Cricetulus griseus: one gene and its partners. The protein of the gene in region 5 purifies or fractionates together with the protein of the main gene of each other region. This does not show direct contact. Links are inferred from orthologs where the notes say so. Each region holds a gene or a part of one and is shown on either strand. Other genes may lie near its edges.

Region 1 (4,018 bases), on a different chromosome or scaffold from region 5:
ACTTAGCTACTTCCCACATATTCTGGGAACCCTGGCTGCACCCCTTCCTCGGCAAACACATGCTGTCTCTGCTACTGAGTGGGACACCTAGAAATGCTAGTGAACAGGTCCACCTCTGAAGACTCAGTAGTAGAGCAGAGCCGTAAAGGAGCAGGAAAACCATACCAAAACACGCCGAGGTGTGCTACACAGGAAACCCACAGAGGAGCAACTAGTAGCAGAAGGGAGTGTGTGAATCCTTAACTTTAAAGCTCATCTCCTCAAGACCAAAACAAAACAACCAAACCAAACAAGCAATCAACCAAATAAAAAAGCCCAGGAAGAGAGAAAAGGCTGGGAAAGCAAGGCATTGTGGCTTGTGCCTGTAATCCCGGACTGAGGCCACATAGTTAACGGGACAGAGGAAGGAAAGAGAGAGGGGGGGGGAGGGAGGGAGGGAAGAAGGAAGGGAGGAAGGAAGGCAGGCAGGCAAAAGAAAAACGGATCTGCCCAATTTGCACTTGAGCCTGGCTTGGGCGAGCATGCCTGAAATCCCGGCCACTCGCAGCACACGGGAGGCTGAACCAGAGGGTTCGAGACCTGCCAGGGCTACGTAACAAGCACTAGGCCAACCAGACCTATATAGACCCTATCTTAAAAAGAAAATTAGAAACAAAAACAGCACTCAATTTCACGGGGTTCACAGGCACAAATTCATAGTGTTCCGTAGCAGTCCAGAGCTCAGGTTAAAAAGACCCAATCTACCAATCCAGGGAAAGTGGGCGACGGTAGCATTCGCTGGCAACAGTGGTTTATTGGGGTTGCAAGTCTGGGGCTTTGCAGCTGGTTTCTTCAAGAAGAAAACATGCGGTATCTTCCAACCCCGGACGGATCCCCGGCCCCGGGGAGCCTACGAGAAGGACAATCACTGGAGGAGGGGACGCCCACGAAGAGGCTTGAGGCACAGAGCGCCACGAGGCTCTCGGAGTGGAAAGGTCAGGGAAAGAGCTCCCAGCTCCGCAGACGGTGGCTTTTAGCACGATTCCAAAGCTGTTACAGTTCTAACCCGGGAGAGCCAATGCCGACCCCGTAGCCTCTACAGGTGCACATGCGCAGAGCCAGTCCCCGGGAGCCGGGAATGCGCAGTCTCAACCCGTCCCTCCCATGAGCCTCTGGAGGTTCCCAGGCCGGCCCCGGAAGCAGCCGCTCTTAGTTTCCGGCAACAGCGCAGCGGCGGCCGCACGACCCGGAAGTATTCCCATTTTGCGTCGTCTGGGCTCGGGTGGCGGCCCGGCTCCAGACGGACGCACTAGTCATGGGGTCGTCAAAGAAGCACCGCGGGGAGAAGGAGGCGGCGGGGACGACGGCGGCGGCCGGTACCGGGGGCGCCACCGAGCAGCCGCCGCGGCATCGAGAGCACAAGAAACACAAACATCGCAGCAGCGGCGGCGGCAGCAGCGGCGGCGAACGACGGAAGCGGAGCCGCGAGCGTGGGGGCGAGCGCGGGAGCGGGAGGCGCGGGGCCGAAGCCGAGGCCCGCGGCGGCGCGCACGGTCGCGAACGAAGTCAAGCGGAGCCCTCGGAGCGGCGCGTGAAGCGAGAGAAACGCGATGACGGCTACGAGGCCGGTGAGGGCGGGGCGGGGGCGGGGCAGGGGCCTGGGGTGCGCGGGACGGAGGGTGCAGGGTGACCGCCAGGGCCTGTGCCTCTCGGGCTGAAGACTTGCTCCGGCTGTTGGGGACTAAAGACTGACTCCCCATGTTAAGCTTCGGAAGGACCGGGGTCTTGCGTTTCCCCTTCCCGTCTGGCACTTGACAGTAAATGCGGTGGGTGGGCGAAAGGAGGAGGTGCGAGCATGCACAGACAGAGGCAAGAGAAACCTGACAGTAGGTGGAATCGTCATGAAGCAGTAAGATACGCTTGGGTCTGAACACCAAGGACCCTGTGCTGTAAGCTCTGTTGAGAAATTTGGGCTTTGTGATGAAGACGGTAGGGAGTCGAGGATTTGAGTAGGGAAGTGGGTTGATTTACTTCATATGTTAAGATCACACTGGATTGAGCTGGGCATTGGTGGCGCACGCCTTTAATGCCAGCACTCGGGAGGCAGAGGCAGGCAGATCTCTGTGAGTTCGAGGCCAGCCTGGTCTCCAGAGTGACTGCCAGGATAGGCTCCAAAGCTACACAGAGAAACCCTGTCTCGAAAAACAAAAAAAAAAAAAAAAAAAAAAAAGGATCTCTGGGTTGAGAGCTTGTCAAAAATAGGACTACAGACCCTGAGATTAGGAGGGAGGTCAACCCAACCAGGTGAGGACTAACAGTGAGTATGCATGTTTCTCCATGCAGTAGGGTGGAGAGACTGGAAAGATTGAATAGGTGTTTAGGAAGTGCAATGAACAAAATTTAGTGCGTGGGCTAAGGGGATGGGAGGGATGAGGAACAGGGAATGCCTCCTGGAGTTTTGACCTTACCCGCCTGGTGAATGGTTTTCATCTGTTGAAGTTGGTGTTTAGAAGACTAGCAGATTTGAGGCAAGGGAGAATGACCCAGTTTGGGAGAGCTTTGGTCAGTGTGTATGGGAAAACCTACAGTTTAAGTGGGATAGAGTGATTTGAGGCTAGTGTGTATTCAGGAATCCAAAGTGCCCTAGAGTGTGTGGAGTGAGAACTAGGATCAGAAATAGAACTTAGTAAATGCCAATAGCTCAATTGTGGGCAGAGAAACATACTTAAAAAATAAAGAGTAGCCAAATGGCAAGAACACTACAGTTGGGTCATAGGATCTGTACAAAGAGATGATTGTTGAAAAGACAGAGTGGTTAAGAGCATCACACACCACAGGGCATTATGCAGAACCAGAACTTGTAAACAAAGGGTTGTTTTCATTTTATGCATTTGAGTGTTTTACCTCCATATGTGAATATGCACTTGGTGCATTCCTAGTGCCTGTGGAGGTTCAGAGGAGGACATTGGATCCCCTGAAAATGAGTTAGGTGGTTGTGAGATGCCATATAGATTATGGGAACCAAACCTGGGTCCTCTGTAAGAACAGCAAGTGCTCTTATCCACTGAGACATCTCCCCAGCCCCTAAATTGAAACTTTTTTTTTTTTTTTAATAATCTGCTAATTGGAAAAAGGGAGACTTGAGACTTGAGAGTTCATATAGAAAATGGGGTCCAGAGCCTAGGTGGAGGAGGAAGGGTTTAAAGAGCAGTGAGTAGTGTGTGACAGGGGACTTGGGCATCCTGGTGGCATCTTCCTCTGTATAGTGTTTATTGAAGTTCTCTCCTGTTTGTGGGGTGGATAGATCAGGTCCAGAGTGCTTCCTTTCCTATGTCCATAGCATCTGGCATGGAACACACACTAGTAAGTATTCCATACACTGCTGTGGGCAGAAAGTGCCAGAAATGACAAGCAGTGCTGTGCCGTTCTAGGCAGAGTTTTAATTCTGGTCAGTAATTGAGCAGGGCTTCATGGAGGAGATGATACTTGCTCTTTTGATAGAACTTTATGAGAACAAGAGCAGAAGGGACTGTGGAGGCTGAAGGTAGAGTGTGGAGATTTGGAGTGGCACAGTGAGGGATGCAGAAAAAAGATAAGGGCCTGGGTAGCAGCTGCAGGGAACCCTGGGGGAAGAAGGCTGCTGTTTTCTGGTGTCATCTACCCAGGTGCTGGTGGGGGCCCTTGTCTTCGACCTTGCAACTGAAGACCATGATGTTGCTTCTTGGTCCCATGTTCATGGGTTCCTTAAGCCGTGCTCCTTATTGTTCTAGCTGCCAGCTCCAAAACTAGCTCTGGAGATGCCTCGTCACTTAGCATCGAGGAGACCAAGTGAGTAGCCCTTATGCTGTTTTGATTTTCCTCTGAGACTGGTTGCACCTGGGGCTGTTACCTATAGAAACTTTTTCAATCTAAATGAAGCCAGTTAGAATTGGAATGGCCAGATGAGTCATACTGCCAACCATAGGAGCTACGTGGAAGAAACTGAGACCCAAGAGGAAGGATAGTCTTCCCCAGTCAGGAAGCCTGTTCTGGAAGCCTG
Region 2 (4,269 bases), on a different chromosome or scaffold from region 5:
GTAGTAGTGGGGGCCCTAATCACACCTGTGACCTTTTACTTACGCTGTCCAGCTAAAGGCTAGATCAATCTCTCCCAAATACCCGTGTATCCTAACTTATTCATCCCCTTTTAAATTTCATGAATGTTTTGCCCGAATGTATATGTCTGTGCACCACGCATGTACCTGGTGCGGAAATCGGATCCCCCAGCCCTGGGGTTTATGGTCTGTGAGCTGTCATGTGGGTGAACCCGTGTCCTCTGCAAAAATATGAAAACTTCTTTTAATCACCAAGCTATATCTTCATCCCCACTTGCTCGTTCTTTACTGGAGCATTCTCTTTTCTCAGACCATTTTCCAGAGACGCTAGCTGACATTTGCCTGCGGGTCACTTTGAACTCCAGGCAGTACTATGCCTCTCTGTTGAACTCCTGAATCAGACTCTGTTCCTAAGGGTTCAGTGTTCATAGACTCAATCAATCCTGTTCCTCCCTAAAAGCTTGTTTGAGGAGCCAAGAATGGTTGTTTGCTTCAGTACTCCACTGAAAAGCACTGGACGTAGAAGTCTGGTTGCCTGGTCCAGCATAGCAATTTGCAGTTTTTCCTGTCTGCCCTAGAGTCTGATGCTCTCCCCAGGTTGAGACTGCTTTATTGAAACAGAGGGGCCCTGATCTTTCCACTGGATGAAAGGGGAGCACATGTAGAGGGATTTGGACACACACATACATATATACTTAATAGCTACCGGGAAGGTACAGCTATTTTTGTGATTTAACCGGAGGCAGGGTTGTTTTCCCTAGTATATTGTTTCTGCAGGTAGAGCCCATCATCCCTGTGGCTAAGCAATCCTTTATACCTTTGGGCTATTGCCCAGTACAGCCTGACTCATGACCTGAATCTATTTATTACCCAACAGGTGGGATTGGCATTGTCTTGCGTAGAGCTGCACACAGGCAGAAAATATCTGTGTAGAGTTACTGTGGTGCGCGTCCACTAAAGCCCCTGGGCACACAATCACTCCCAAGCATGTAACTCCGGCCCATGCACTTATTCTCTGAAGGCCCACGGGGGTGGGACGGAGCAGGAGGGGGGGGTGTCGCAGTTCTGAACGCTGAGCGCACAGAGCAGTAGTTGCGGAGTGCACGCAGTATCGACGGGCGGTGGCCACACAGTACAGCTAGGCAAGTCTTGGTCATGTAGGCTGAATCCGTCTTCCTAAGGCTAGGCAGATTCGAGGCCATGCCAGCACCGGGACGCTCCTCAACAAGCCTACTGGGCTCAGGCTGTGCATCGTCCCTGGCACAGCAACAGAACGCATGACCCTTACATCTGCCTGCGCGGCCCGCTGCGTTAATGGTTAGTGGCTTCCGCGCACGCGTGCTCAGCTTCCCACAGCAAACCCACCCAGCAGCCCCGACCGGAAACGCTTTGCAAACTCACATCTTTGACTTCCGTCAGAGGCTCTGTGTGGGCGGAGTTTTGCGCGACCTCACTCTCTACTTCCGGGGCGCCGGCGACGCAGTAGCCGCCTCTCTTCCAGCTGCGACACCGCGAGTATTCTTCGGCCGCCTACCTGCTCCTCTATCTTTCTCTGCCTCGGCCAAAAACACCGCCATGAACAAGAAGAAGAAGCCGTTCCTGGGCATGCCCGCGCCGCTTGGCTATGTACCCGGGCTGGGCCGGGGGTAAGGCAGTGGGCGGAACTTATACCAGGAAGGGTGGCTAGTGCTCTGGAACACTACTTGCTCCAGGCCTAGTTGAGAATGATACTTGTGACCACTAAGTAGAGAGAGACCTCATCTCAAAACAAACCAACAAAACAAAACAAAAAACAAAAAACAAGTGCCTGAGGGTCTGAGTGTGGTGGTGAAGGTCTCTAATCCCAGCATTGAGGCGGGGCGCGGTGGGGGTGGTTGGGGGGGAGACAAGCCTGATCGGCGTAGCGAATTCCAAGACATCCAGGTTTACTTAAAGAAATCTTGTCTCAAAAACAAGAATAACGTTCACCGCCATATATTCTGAGAGGCACTAGGTAATTTGACACAATGCTTGACAGACATGGTGGCCTTTTTTGTTAGAATAAGCCCGACTGCCACCCTGAGATGTGAATCTGACCTCAGGGATTACGCAGGCGTGTGAGCCTCATTGTTTTGGTGTCTGAAGTAATATGCACAAGCAAGTCGGCTGTAAGGAGCAGTTGAGTCTGATGTGTATAGTAGGAGTGTGCTACTCCTTTATTCCCTTAAGCATCTTTTCCCTCTAGGGTGTGTGGCCATAGGTCACCTTTGGACAGCAATGGCCTATGCCTGCCAACCATAAGGTGTTGGGTAAATGAATAGTATTTTTCCTACTTATTTATGCATTAGATGAGACATAAGTCTCTCCTGTTAATAGTATTTAGAATTGACTTGAATTCACTAGAATTCAAGGTTTGGTGTTTGTGTATATAAGCACACACAGGAGAACAGAAGTTTTAAGAGTGTAGCATTTTAGTCAGATTTACAAAGAGGATTTGAAGTGTCAGATTGGGAAAAGCAAAGAAAAGTGGAATTTATGCCAGGTAGTTCCAGCACTAGGGATCCAGAAGCCAACTTGGTCTACAGATCAAGTTTTAAGACAGAAACTGTCTCAAAAAGCGAACAAAAAGAGGAATTTGGTGTAGACACATAAAAAGGCAAGTAGTGGGCTGTTGAGGTGACTCAGTAGGTAAGGCTCTGTCAAGCCTGAGTTTGATCCCCAGAATCCACGTGATAGAAGGGGAGAATAGATTATTGTCTTCTGACCTCTATACATGTACCAGGTCACACACACTAAATAAATAAAAAAACAGGCAGTTTTAAAAGGCAGCTGGAGGTGTAGCCAACTGTACCATGCCCAGGCCTGGGTTTGATTCCAGCACCTTGCCCAACCTCTTTAAAAAAGACAATGGGAATAGAGAGATGGCTCAGCAGTTAGGAGCACTGACTGTTTTTGTGGAGAACTTGAGTTTCGTAAACGGAGGTGGAGCTTTCATGTCCCGGCTGCACAGTTCCAAATAATCACACAGAAAGTTTTATTAATTACAACTATAATTATATAGTTGTATAATGATATAATTTGACCTATATATAGTTCAGGCTTATTACTAACTAGCGCTTACATTTAAATTAACATGTTTCTATTACTCTGTGTTGCCATGTAGCCCTGTCTTCTTTCTTTCTTTCTTTCTTTCTTTCTTTCTTTCTTTCTTTCTTTCTTTCTGTTTTGTTTTTTGTTTTTCCGAGATAGGGTTTCTCTGTGGCTTTGGAGCCTGTCCTTGAACTATCTCTTATAGACCAGGCTGGTCTCGAACTCACAGAGATCCACCTGCCTCTGCCTCCCGAGTGCTGGGACTAAAGGCATGCACCACCAACACCCGGCTATTTCTTTATTTTTTATTAATTTATTTTTTACATTCCAACCCCAGTTCCCCCTCCTTTTCTCTTCCCACTACCCCACTACCCTACTACCCCTCCCCCCCCACCTCTCATCTGCTCCTCAGAGAGGGTAAGGCCTCCCCTAGGAAGTATACTAAGTCTGTCTCATCTCCTTGAGGCAGGCACCTCTCTACCCCCACACCCCTGTGCCTAGGCTGGGCAAGATATCTCTCCATATAGAATGGGTAGCTGCTGGAGATGGCTCAATATTTAGGAGCACTGGCTGCTCTTCCCAGAGGACTTGGGTTCGATTCCCAGTACCCACGAGAGATAATATTTAAGCCGGGCGGTGGTGGTCCATGCCTTTAATCCCAGGACTCTGGAGGCAGAGGCAGGTGGATCTCTGTGAGTTTGAGACCAGCCTGGTCTACAAAAGCAAGTTCCAGGACAGCCTCCAAAGCCACAGAGAAATCCTGTCTTGAAAAACCGAAAAAAAGAAAAAAAAGGAAAAAAAAAAAAAAAAAGAATAGGTAGCCCTGGCTTTTACTGGTTTGCTGTTGTTTCTTGGGCAGCTGGCTCATGTCTCCCTGGACTCTGCCCCTCCTCTGTTTGATTGTTCTACCTAACCCTATTCTGCCAGGCTAGTGGTCAGCTTTTATTATTAACCAATGGGAACAATATATATTTACAGTGTATAGAAGCATTCTATAGTATATCTCCCTATCTGGCTAATCAAAAAGGAAGGTTTTAACTTTAACTTAGTAAAATTGCATATAAAAGAAAAAGTTCAGTCCCAGTGAGGCCAGAAAAGAAAGGAATCCAGAATGGTGGGATTTGCTGCAAAAAGAATGGAGCTGCCAGGGAGCCTCTGGTAGTGGATTAGTATTTTTCCCTG
Region 3 (3,698 bases), on a different chromosome or scaffold from region 5:
CAGGCATGCTAACCGGACTGTCAGACCTCTTCCTGTTCCAGTGGTGTCAGAGACGGGTACCGCTCTGGACTTTGCCAGGCACAGGGTGAGCAGGTCCAAGAGAGGCTGTGGAATAAAATGGGTGGGAAGGATAGGGACCCTGGGAGCACTCCATCTGAGTACTCCCTCGTTTCTACCTCCCTGTACTGGGAGTTCAGGCTGACCTTATTCCAGCCTTGACCTCATTTCCACTCATCTGTTGGACATGCCAAGTCACACTGAGACGGGTAGGAGAGGTCACGCAGCAGGAAAATTCGACACAGAATGCTGGGGATAAGCTACAAAAAACTCCCACTTCATCCCACTTTTGAAAGACAATACAGTAAAAGTTAGACTACTGCCCCATCCCAAGTATCTAGGTGCTTAGAAATGTTCTAAAGAGCTGGGTGGCTCTGGCCTGTCTCAAGGGATAATAGTCAAGATGGCAGCCCACTCAGCTCAGCCCTATGAACTGAGGATTAGGCTAAGCAACCTCTTGGGACACCAGCAACTATCACCACTACTGCCTTTCCCTTTGACTCCTGTCTGCACCCCTCCCCCAGGCTACTGGCATATTTAATTGGCCTCTAGAGGAGAGAAAGCGTGGCTAAGATTTAGGTCTCAGCTCCTAGCAACCTCCCTGTAAGCTGATTTGTCAGTGAACCCCAAGTTTGTCCTAGGGCGTCCTAATCTCTACTATCGTCCGTCCGCCGCCCCCCTCCCGCCCCTTGCAACCTGTTCCCTGCTTGGGTTGGCTGCTGGTCTGAAGGACTTTATACTCTTATGTTGTGGGCCCCTGGCCAAGGCTGTTGAGAAAACTGCAGCATGGCTATCAGGGCTTCAAGAACATAGGGAAGGAAGTGAGCGTGCAGCAGCCCAGTGGATTCTCAGACTCTGGTTCCCAGAGATGAAAGAGGACAGCCCCGGGCCTAGAGGGGAGTTGTGTGTGGCCTTAAATAGTGGGGTCGGTGTCCAAGCACGGCTAGGCAGAGCCTAGAGGAGAGGCCTCGAATCTCTGCAGCCCCAAACAACTTATCCAACATCCAGAGCCCACCACGTCTCTAGATGCCAAGAGCCAACTAGGACTTAAGTCCCCGCCCCCTTTAGGAAGCCAACCGAGTACAAGATCAGATCAGCACCACTTCTGACCAGGAAACTTGTTGACGCCCGCACTGCGTGGTGACGCACTTCCTTCCAGTGACGAACCCTGCTCAGACGGCTTCCGACAGGCGGCGCTGGAGGCCTCAACCCTTTGCGATTAGCAGTTGGCCCTATGTACAATGGGAATCGAGGCTCTTGGCTCCGCCTCTTCCTCTTTCGTCATTTCCGGGTAGATTTCCGTGTCCGCTCCAGTCTTACGGGATGACGTATACGTAAAGGTTACACCTCCCGGCAGGCATTACGCATTGGCCCATTGCCTTCTGGGAGTTGTAGTTCCTTGGCCGCTAAAGTTGCAGCATTCAGACAGCCGGAGACTCGGTTTCCCAGAAAGCCGAGCGAGAGTAGGCGGGGGCCACGGCCCGTACCTCGAGAAACCGGCGGGACGCTACGGTAAAGGCAGCTGGCTGTTGTAGCGTGAAGGGACGGTGGAGCGGTGAGCGCTGGCCTCCTTAGGACCGTGCGACCAGGCCAGTCCCCTGCCAGCTCTCCCTCCGGAGCCGGGTGGTGCCTCCGGTGGCGGTGTGTACCCGGAGAGGCTGCGCTCTGTGAGAGCCGGTGATGAGACGAGCTGATGGTCGAGAGCCTCTGTCTCCAGCGTCTCCTAGCGCGCACCCTTTATATGTCCGCACTGTTCTGATCTCATGGTTTGACTCTCTGCTTAACCCTATCTAGACTGCAGCTCCACATCAGTGCGTGCGAGGACACACTATTCGCCACCCAGCTTCGCGAGGCCTCCGCCCGCCTGCGTGACCAGCCAGCGCCCGATTGCGAGCAGAGGCGCCTGGCACATAGTGGAGGTGAAAGTGGGGGAGCCTGGGAGAACGGGGGTGGGGGGGAGCTGCCCAAGTACACCCCTCACAGCAGAACCTGGGCTGCTTCGCTACAGGTCGGGTTCCATGGCGGAGGCGGAGACTGGCTTGGAGGCCGAGGAACCCACCGAAGATGACACCCTGCCTTCTGACACCGTCTCCCTCAGCGACTCGGACTCGGACCTCAGCTTACCTAGTGGTGCTGAGGTGCAAGTGTTGTCCCCGGAGAGGATTTCTGGGGAAGCCCAAGAAGACTCCGGCCCTGATGAGCCTCCCTCGCCCCCCACGGGCGTCCCCACCACCGCAGTTCAGCCGTTCCACCTCCGCGGCATGAGCTCCACCTTCTCCCAGCGCAGTCACAGCATCTTTGATTGTCTGGAGAGTGCAGTCCGGCAGGCACCGCCCTCTGCGCCCCAAACCAGTGTGACTGAAAATGGCAACTTCAAGCGACCTGTGGCTCCCCCAAGTCAGACTCCAGCAGGGAACCTGAGCAGGGTGCATGGGAGTACGGGCCCAACCAGGGTACCTCCTGTGCCCGATTATGTGTCACATCCTGAGCGTTGGACCAAGTACAGCCTGGAAGATGCGACTGAAGTCAGTGAGCAGAGCAATCGTGCTGCTGCCCTGGCCTTTCTGGGTTCTCGCAGCCTGGCATCCCCCACAGACTATGTACCTTCCTTCAACCAGGACCCCTCTAGCTGTGGGGAGGGGAGAGTGGTCTTTACCAAACCAATTCGAGGCAGTGAGACTAGGGCTGAAAGGAAGAGGGTCCTAAAGAAGGGGGATGTGTCAAATGCTGTGAGTGAGGCATCTGTGGAGCTGGCCCATCTGGCAGGGCCTGAGCTTGAGGAGTGGAGTGGCCACCAGGGACTGCAAGAGGCAGTGATACCTTCAGGAGCTGACCATCCTGGGTCCTCATCAGATCCCACAGGGATGGAGGCTGTTGGTTTCCATGGCAGCAAGAAGCGGAGCAGAGAACACTTCCGGAACAGGGACAGTAACCCGGAGGGGCCAGGGTCTGAGAGGGGACCCTCAGTTTGACTGCAGTGCTATCTCTCCACCTCCTCACCTGCCCAGTCCAGGTGGGAAGCTGTGGGCTATTTGTAGAAGGGGTGTCTGGGAAGCAACTCTGACTAGGACTGTGGGAATTGTGGGACCTTATGCCCCCGTTTCTTGGGGTGAAAAATAAAGGTTTGGGATATTTCTTAAATTTTGTGGATTTTTCTGCTCCCTATTCAAGATGTGTCCAAACAGTCCTTGGCAACTAACTTCAGGACTCCATCCTACACCTGGCTTATCTTGCTCTCCCCACTCCAGTGGGGACTGCTGTAAAGATTTGCCATGATCCCTTGCATTTGCTACCAGTGAACCTACCCAGAGGGACTGGGTTCATAACCATGTCCAGCCTTGTACCCCTGATGGTAATGGACGAACATAATCTGTCCCCCAGAAACCAGCACAGCCTCCACACTAGGCCTGTGCAGACCAGTTTTAGGAAGAGGGTAGTTTGAGCCAGCGAAGGAGTTTGGGCAGGTGTCCACCCAAACTAAAGATAGAGCTGGTGTCCTGGGTGTATGTCTCCAGGATTTGTGACCTCTGTGTAGGACACTGCTGATGCTAATAGGCTGATGCTAGGTCATTTAGCTGAAGCTTAGCCCAGGAGGAAGAGAAGGATGCAGGGAAGACACATGAGTGAGTACTTCATGCCGT
Region 4 (4,250 bases), about 370 Mb from region 5:
TCAAAATGACCGTAATCCTCTCATTCATCCAGTCCATTACCAAATCCTATCTAATTTACTTCCCAGCTATCCCCAAGATACTGTAAAACTGTCTTCAGCTCCACCTTCAGCTAGGTTCTCACTGACATTGCTGATCAGAACTACAGTGCATGCTCCCAAAGTGGTCCATTTGCCTCCAATAAACCTCCCCTCCTCTCTCCAATCTCATAACACCATTAAGCCTGAAGGAGCAAGCCTTCTCCTCCTCCACATCCCACGCCCTGGAGGGGAGACAAAATTTTCATTGGTTTCCTATTAATTGTAAAGTTAAAGCTACAAATTCCTGCAAATCTTCATGACCCCCAGGTTATCTCGTACCATAACCCCCTTCAAGTGCTCTCTCAGCATACTGGCTCTTCGTGCCTCTTAGTCATCTTCCCAAATGATAGGGCACTACTGCACACGCTGTTCTGTGAAGAACGTTCTGCCTTCTTCCTCTCTTCCCCGAATTAGAACTGTCCGATCAAACGGCAACAGCTCAGGCATCTTTTCCTCTGAAAATCCTTCAAGCTCATTAGTTACTCACAGCATGAGGCATCGCTCTCTTCGCTAGTCTTCCAATCAACTGGTGAGATTAGTTTAAAATGTTTCCCACACACACCCCAAGAGACACTAAAGCCCTGAAGTTAGAGAACATGTTTCTTCAGTGTCCTCCAACGCTCTGCACGATAAACGCCACTTGGATCGCTTATGAGAAGGCCTGGTACACAAGCATGGACCTTAGATTTCTCAACAAAATTATGCTTTGGAGGAACCATCGGATACTTCCTCCATCACTGTCTGTCTGGGGGCATAAATTAAGCCCTTAAAAAAAGACGGTTGAACCAATGGTATAAACTAAGTCCGCCTCCTCAGCCAAACCCGGCACTGAAGCCGGGAGGCCGGGAGTCGGGCATCACGCTAGTACAGCGCTGGAAGCAAAAGCGGCGTTGTGCAGAGCAGCTAGCTGTCAAGGGACAGCGGCCTTAGGGTTCCAGTCCTGCGGTCAGAGATCCCAAAGCTCCGCTCTAGCCTGCCAAGGGACTACTCTTTCCAGAACGCTCCCCTACCCCCACGGCAGGACCGTCAGCCGAGAATGCTAGGCTCGGGCCCATCACCTAGTCGCAGATTAGAACAGCTACCGTCCTCGTTCCCCGCACACTTACTCCGCGCCAGCTCCTAGCCTGGCAGCCTCTTCATCGCCAAGAACGCCTAACCTGCTCCGCTCGTTCCCAACCCACAATGCACAGCGCGCCTAGGGGGGACGTCACTACACGCCCCAATCCCAGAGCTGAGCCCTCGTGGCGTCATCAAGAACGGACCAATCGCAAGAGCGCATTCAGAGGGCGTTGCAGAAGAGAATGTTGGGAGCCGATTGGTTGCTCCTCTCCGGAAGTTCTGGAGGAAGAACTCAGTTGGAGCCAATTGCGCGGCGGCTGCGGCCGGCGGCGCGGTCAGTGGCGGCGCCGAAGAGAGTGGCTACCGCCATGATCGAGCAGCCAAAACGCAAGGGCCCGGAGCTGCCACTGGTTCCTGTCAAGCGGCCGCGACATGAGTTGCTGTTGGGAGCCGCGGGGGCCGGCCCCGGAGCCGGACAGCCGCAGGCGACTCCGGGAGCTTTGCTGCAGGCGGTAAGTGGGGAGGCATCCCTTCTTCGGCCCTCCGCTCCTCTCCCAATAGACCTTCCCGGCGCTGCGGGAACGGAAAGACAGAGAAGCTGAAGTGAAAGCAGGCCTCTGTTTACATACGTGCCGTGTGTTCTGCGTCTGTTTCATACATGTGTCCCTGTCGGACGCCTGTTTCCAGCCTTTGAATCGCCCTGTGAAGTAGCAGTGAATCATTTAAAACCTTGGCCTCAAAAATCAGGATCCAAAGTTCCGCATCCTAAATCTTCAGGGATTCAGCATAAAATAAACATTCAGAAAAGTTTGTAGAGTGGACGAATGAATGAATGAATGAATGAATGAATGGGAAGGGAAGCAAGGGAAATGAATGATACAGGCTCTCTCTGCCATCTGGTACAATTTACTTTTCTCTTTTTCTGATTTTGCATTATTAACAGTAATTAATATCCGTTGGCTCGAGTGTTAGCTGTTTTGCATGAGAAATTTCCATTAATCTTGGTAACAGCCCGAAAGGAGCTGTTATTTTGCATATAGGGAAAGCAAACTTCTTTGAGTTAGAAGCTAAGCTCCTAATGGCATTTCTTGTAAAATAGTGATCATGCCCTCACTACTATGATATTAGTTTCAGATACGGAAATAAATGTGCCTCCTGTCCCAACTCTCAATTCTGCTGGTGTGGTCATTAAAATAAGTAAATAAAATTGGCAAGGGGTGTAGGGCTGTAGTTGCATCTTTTCAGAAGGCTGACAAGAAAATTTTGAGGGAAGGAGTTGGAGGCCAAGCCTGCAACTCTGGGTTGACAATCCTACTTGTCAAGTAAGAATAAGTGTACCACCAGTAATCCTGAAATGTCTTTGGTAGATTCCGGTGTACTAACTTACTTTTTAACACAGCAAGGTCGCTGACTCAAAAATAAGTAAATAAAAAGCTGGACACACACAAATTTACACTCAAGCTGCTGAACAGGAGGGTCAAGGGTTCCAAGCCAGTGTAGGCTATTATAGCAAAACTCTTTTGTTGAACGGAAGAGAACTGTTTACCTGAAATCCTTACCTCCTAGTCAAACTTTTATGTCATCTGGCATCATTGCAGGTGGGGCTTAATTAGTATTTCTGGTTTTGCCTTTGAATCAAGGATCAATTATTAGTCTGGTAGCCAGGAGAATCACCACAACATTAAATCACATGATTCTCTGCTGAAAATATTGTGTTGGCTATTTCATTCCAAATTAAAGAAAAATCAAATTCTGTGTAATAACCCCTTTTCTATGCTCATGTACCCGTTTTCTAGCATGTCATCCTTCTCAAATAACACCAGCCTGTGTGCTGTTAATTCTGTTGCTGTTGTTGCATATGCTGGAATATTACTCCAAATGCCCACATGTTTAACTACTGGTTCTTTCAAATCTTGGTTCAGATGCCTGTTTTCAGTGGGCTCTCCTGGCCACTGTATTTTAAGTTAAAGTACCCTGTACTCTGGTACTCATATTTTTTTCCATTGCATGCAACACTAGGTGTTCTGCTTGTTTTTTGTTTTGTTTCCTTTCCCATTCTCTCACTCACTTTCCACCAGAATGCACAGTTCATTGTTTTATTGAGTGCTGTTTCCCCAGTGCCTAGATATATTAGGTTTATTTTTATCCGTATGTCTGTATGTATGTGTGAGTACCCTCATAGGCCAGAAGAGATTGTTGAATCCTCTGAACCTAGGGCTACAGGCACTTGAAAGCTGCCTAGTGTGGTACTGGGAACTGAATTCGGGACCTCTGGAAGAGCAGTAAGTGCTCTCTAACTACTGGGCCATCTCTGTGGTACACATGTGTTATTTTCAATAATTACACTAGATAAATATGCTCATGGTACATTATTTACATTACTTTTCATAGTTAATACATGATAATAAATATAAGTTAGTACACTGGAACCTACCAAAGAGATTTCAGGACTATTTTTGGTAGTACACTTATTTGCCAAGTAACACTGTCAGCCCAGGGTTGGAAGACTTGCCAAACAGGCTTAGCGTCCAAGACCCTAATCAGAAACTGCTTTGCCAAACCAAGCATAGCAATTCACACTTGTATTATTACCAGCACTCAGGAGGACTGAAAATTTAAGACCAGCCTGAGCTACTTATCAAAGCGCTGCTCATACCCCTAAAATCTATTTTGCATAGTAAGTTGTACTATGCAGGGTTTTTCAAAGGCTAGGTGGGTGAACTAGTCTGAGAAATGTTGTTCCTGCACTCCCAGAGCTTCATTTATTTGGGGAAAAAGAAGCATGTCAGCAATGACATGAGGAAGGAAACTTGAGGCAGCACTAAACCTAATGGAATACTGGTGGGGAGATGGCTGCTACTTAAGTTTGACTGTTAAAGAAAGACTCTGGGGAGGAAATATTTAAAAGGAGCCCAATAGCAGGAGAGCTCTGTGGGAGACATTTTTCCTTGTTAAGATCCTGAGGTATAAGTGAAGTCAGCATGATTAAGCAGTCAGAAGTTGGCTGTGGAACAAAAGCAGAGTTGGGGAGGAGAGTGGTATGGTGAGCATATGCTGGAATGTCCAAAGGTTTATCCAGTGAAAGGCAGGAGTTCTGTGAGCAGAGGTGCCAT
Region 5 (3,954 bases):
TTACTAGAGCTCTCCTAAAGTCTCCTAAACTACACAGAGCACTGTCTGTGAAGCTGAGATTTTGGATTGGGATATATTCAGAGACCCTGTTTGAGAACAGAAAGAATATATAGAGTGAAAAAAAAAAAAAGAGACTGGAGGCTGGAGAAATAAATGACTCAGCCATAGGACCACTGGGTTCTCTTCCAGAGGATCCAGGTTCAATTCCCTGCACCCACATGGCAGCTTACAACTGTTTGTAACTCCAGTTCCAGGGGATCTGACACCCTCACACAGACATTCATGCAGGCAAAACACCAATGCACATTAAATAAAAATAAAATAAACAAATAAAAAGGCAAACCAGGCCAACAACTCTGTGGGATTAAAGCAAAGTTGATGGGGAAATGTTGTTTAAGGAAGTGCTGGGTACCCCAGTTTCTCTCAGCCATCTTAGCAGGTACAACTTTCATTTTGTTTTGGCGGGTGCTGATGGTGCAGTTTGAACCAAAAAGGAAGAAAGTGGGTATGTGATTAGAAGAAAAATTCAGTGGACCGATGGAGGGAGAACCTGAAGGAAGAAACCAACAATAACAAGTGGCCCAAACAGCCCAAATGATCCTGAAGAAAATAATTTTCGTGGGTCCCATCTGGGATGTTGAGTCAGCAGTAAGAGTTTAGGAGAAAGTCCTTCCTGGGAAGTCTTTGGAATGTCGGTTTATTATTTATTGGGGGGGGGGGCTTGGAGCATTAAGGAATTCACCCTACTGGGGCTGGGGCTCAAGATTGTTAAAATACCTTCCTACGATTGGGGTAGTTCTACCATGAAAACTGTACTACCTTCATAGGCTGCTCCAGTTAACTAACTTTTAGTTCATCCAGCTGTAAAAGGGAGGCAATAATCTCTCTCGCGATTTTTATAAAAACATTTTTTAAAAAACAGTAAATTACTTGTTGCCGCAAAAATTCCCTCGCTGCCAGCTATGACTGCGATTAACTCCAGTGTCTACTAGAAGATTCCAGAGAGCCTGAGCCACAAGAGAACCTTGCAGGCTGGGAAGACAACACTTGGAAAATTCTTTCTCCCACAGAAACCGAACCTTCGCGGACCACACTACCCAGAAGACCTTGTGGCTCGGGGCCCTCTCGCGTGCATTCTGGGATTGGTAGTTTTTGGAGCCCGTTCGTCAGCTCGCGCGGTGCGGGCCCAGGAACTCGCCTTCCCGGCTACCCGCGCGGCCAGGGTGCTCCTCCGCGATCAGGAAACGCGAAAGATGGCGACTGCTCGGCGACGTTGAGGCCGCGTTAGGCGGTTCAGACGCGGGGTGGTGAGTGTTGGGCGGCGGAGGTGATTCCTATGAGTTTGGAAAGTGGGCGAGAGCGGGGAGATAGCCCTGGCTTCCGCTTCTTGGTCCAGACGGGGAAGAACGCCTCAGGGAAGGGGCACGAGCCCGGGAAGCTCTGGCGGTCAGGAGCGAAGGGGCGCGGGCCCCAGGAGCAGTGTTGGCTGTCTGGGGCACAGGCCACCTCCAGGACGATGTTATGAGCCAAGATTTTGGCCCATGGACATCGCGCTTGCTATACCTCAGTCTGACTTTATTCCTGATCCTTTACTTCAACCAGACTGGACCTCTGATGTACTTCCAGAAACCAGTCTGTGCTTTCCCGCTACGGCGTCGCCAGTATTACTGCTTTTGCCGGAAATTAGTTCTAACCCTCACCCTCATCTTCAAATGCTCAGGATACACTTCTTCCGTGGATCCTTCCATATCCTCTCTTACGAATGGAAAGAAACTGCTACTTTGGATTCTCGCAATACTTATCTGATTAGTCTTTACCTTGGCGTGTCTCATGCCTTCTGCTTCCTGTGGGCAGAATTTCATTTTGTAACTACCACAGGGCCTAGGACCGAGTCTTACATATAGTAGCAACAGTTAAATGAAAATAATTCGCCTTTGCCCTACAGCAGAACTGGGAAGCACAGCCAGGGTCTTCTATAATCATTGCCTATATTTGCATTTTTGGTTTTGCAGACAGGGTCTCTTGTAGGTCAAGCTGGCCTTGAACTCAGTATGCAGCTTAGTCTGTCCTGACTTTGAACTTAGTCCTACCTTCACCTTCCTAATGCTAAGATTTCAGTCGTAGACTACTTAGCATTTCTCCTAGTTTATATATTTATATACATATATATGTATATATATATATTGTAGTTAGATATCAATAGACAGAGAATAAAAGCAATGTTTTCAGGCAGGTGGTGATGGTGCACACGTTTAATTCCAGCAGGGAGGTAGAGGCAGGTGGATCTCTCTGAGGCCAGTCTGGTCTATAGAATGAGTTCCAGGACAGCCAGCGCTGCACAGAGAAACCCTGTCTGGAAAAACCACACACACACACACACACACACACACACACACACACACACACACACACACACACACTTTCTTGTAAGTCACCACAGGAATTTTTTTTTTTCTCTCTCGGGACAGGGTTTCTCTGTGTAGCTTTGGAGCCTATCCTGGCACTCGCTCTGAAGACTAGGCTGGCCTCGAACTCACAGAGATCTGCCTGCCTCTGCCTCTGCCTCCCGAGTGCTGGGATTAAAGGCGAGCGCCACCAACACCCGGCACTTAGAGCTCTTTTAATGGGGGGGGGGGAAAAAAGCTCTTTTAATGTTCTCAGTGAGATTAAGTTGAAATTCAGGTGCTTTTGCCCTGGACCCTAACAGTTTATTTTGCTTTTATTGTCAGTTTCAGTTCTCTTCCAGACCCACTCCATCCAAGTTTGTATTCTTCCCCTTTCCTGCCATTCAAACAGCTTTTGTGAAGGCCACTAGTCATCTCCTCCCCTCCCAAATCTTCAATGGTTCTGTGTTGACTATTCTCTCTTTGAAATGTGTTTTGCTTCTGCATTGTTATAGTTTACACCCCTACCCCCATCCCTGCTGCTGTTTTTTTCTAGTCTTTTCTTTTGTCTCTTCTAGGCACCCTTCAGTGTTAGTGTGCTAGAGCTGCACTGTGGATCTCCTCTTCTGCCTGCTTAGGTGATGTTTAAGACACAATGACTTAACAGCTGTCTCTGTACTCATATTTTTGTCTTCCCGTGTCTCTTTAGAGTTCCAGATTTCTCTTTGGTTGCTTTCTTAATATCCCACAAGCTGGCAAAAATGGCACTTTTGTTCTGTTCCTTCCCTAGTCTTCTCTGGTTGCTTCACTGATGGTAACAAAAACCAGTAGTTTCCTCAAACTGTATGTACATTTAGGAACTGTTTTCCGCTATCTCATCCCTTCCCCAAACTTTGACAGTAACATGTTTATTTTATCATCAAATAGAGAATGCAAAAGAAGTTTTGTTTTTGTAAATTGTGTATGTGTGTGTATGAGTGGTGAATACATAGTATATGTGTTGTGGGAGGGACAGAGGAGGACACTGGGTGTCCTGCTCCATCATCTCATTCCCCCGGGACAGGTCTCCCCTTGAACTTGGGATGGCCTCCTGCTTCCACCTTCCTTATAGCCCTGGAGTTACAGGTATATTTAACCATGTCTAGCTTTAACATGGGCACTGGGAATTTAGCATGTACAGAAAACACTCCTACCTGCTGAGCTATCTCCCCAGCCCCAGGAGCTGTCTTTGTGTCTCCTCTGTAGTTTTTCCCTTTATCAGTAAGTCTTGTTAGCTCTACTGCCAAAGTATGCCTGTCTCTTTTTGCATCCCTAGAACAAGCCACTGTCATCTCCTGCTTAGATATAGTTGCCCCTTGTGATTATCTGAGGAGAATTGGTTCTAGGACCCTAGGTGAATAACAAAGTCAGCATATGCTCACGTATCTTCCATAAAATGTCACAATATTTGCATATACACTACATAATCCCCCTGCATACTTTAAAAGATTTTCTAGATTAATTATAAATGACAAATGGCTTTGTAAATTGTTGTTTTGCATTATTTGGGGAATGGTAATTTTAAAAATCT

What was found. Proteins that work in one complex are often made in the same cells at the same time.
Region 1: the proteins of Ddx23 (region 5) and Sart1 purify together in Homo sapiens (affinity purification with mass spectrometry; 3 studies listed by BioGRID and IntAct, counting the BioPlex papers as one, with this or other methods). This does not show direct contact. The link is inferred for Cricetulus griseus from reciprocal best matches to the Homo sapiens genes DDX23 and SART1.
Region 2: the proteins of Ddx23 (region 5) and pre-mRNA-processing factor 6 purify together in Homo sapiens (affinity purification with mass spectrometry; 3 studies listed by BioGRID and IntAct, counting the BioPlex papers as one, with this or other methods). This does not show direct contact. The link is inferred for Cricetulus griseus from reciprocal best matches to the Homo sapiens genes DDX23 and PRPF6.
Region 3: the proteins of Ddx23 (region 5) and Tssc4 purify together in Homo sapiens (affinity purification with mass spectrometry; 3 studies listed by BioGRID and IntAct, with this or other methods). This does not show direct contact. The link is inferred for Cricetulus griseus from reciprocal best matches to the Homo sapiens genes DDX23 and TSSC4.
Region 4: the proteins of Ddx23 (region 5) and Snrnp40 purify together in Homo sapiens (affinity purification with mass spectrometry; 3 studies listed by BioGRID and IntAct, counting the BioPlex papers as one, with this or other methods). This does not show direct contact. The link is inferred for Cricetulus griseus from reciprocal best matches to the Homo sapiens genes DDX23 and SNRNP40.

The regions. Positions count from the first base shown.
Region 1 is NC_048596.1:53,945,846-53,949,863, forward strand, and holds the start of Sart1 (U4/U6.U5 tri-snRNP-associated protein 1), read left to right. Parts: upstream 1-1,218; 5' UTR 1,219-1,294; coding exon 1,295-1,607; intron 1,608-3,749; coding exon 3,750-3,807; intron 3,808-4,018. UniProt on the Homo sapiens protein: Plays a role in mRNA splicing as a component of the U4/U6-U5 tri-snRNP, one of the building blocks of the spliceosome. May also bind to DNA.
Region 2 is NC_048599.1:310,495-314,763, reverse strand, and holds the start of pre-mRNA-processing factor 6, read left to right. Parts: upstream 1-1,469; 5' UTR 1,470-1,593; coding exon 1,594-1,664; intron 1,665-4,269. UniProt on the Homo sapiens protein: Involved in pre-mRNA splicing as component of the U4/U6-U5 tri-snRNP complex, one of the building blocks of the spliceosome.
Region 3 is NC_048596.1:58,316,386-58,320,083, reverse strand, and holds Tssc4 (protein TSSC4), read left to right. Parts: upstream 1-1,424; 5' UTR 1,425-1,569; exon of another isoform or gene 1,570-1,698; intron 1,699-1,851; 5' UTR 1,852-1,976; intron 1,977-2,065; 5' UTR 2,066-2,075; coding exon 2,076-3,029; 3' UTR 3,030-3,198; downstream 3,199-3,698. UniProt on the Homo sapiens protein: Protein associated with the U5 snRNP, during its maturation and its post-splicing recycling and which is required for spliceosomal tri-snRNP complex assembly in the nucleus.
Region 4 is NC_048595.1:22,689,899-22,694,148, reverse strand, and holds the start of Snrnp40 (U5 small nuclear ribonucleoprotein 40 kDa protein), read left to right. Parts: upstream 1-1,450; 5' UTR 1,451-1,505; coding exon 1,506-1,649; intron 1,650-4,250. UniProt on the Homo sapiens protein: Required for pre-mRNA splicing as component of the activated spliceosome. Component of the U5 small nuclear ribonucleoprotein (snRNP) complex and the U4/U6-U5 tri-snRNP complex, building blocks of the spliceosome.
Region 5 is NC_048595.1:395,146,137-395,150,090, reverse strand, and holds the start of Ddx23 (probable ATP-dependent RNA helicase DDX23), read left to right. Parts: upstream 1-1,154; 5' UTR 1,155-1,307; intron 1,308-3,954. UniProt on the Homo sapiens protein: Involved in pre-mRNA splicing and its phosphorylated form (by SRPK2) is required for spliceosomal B complex formation.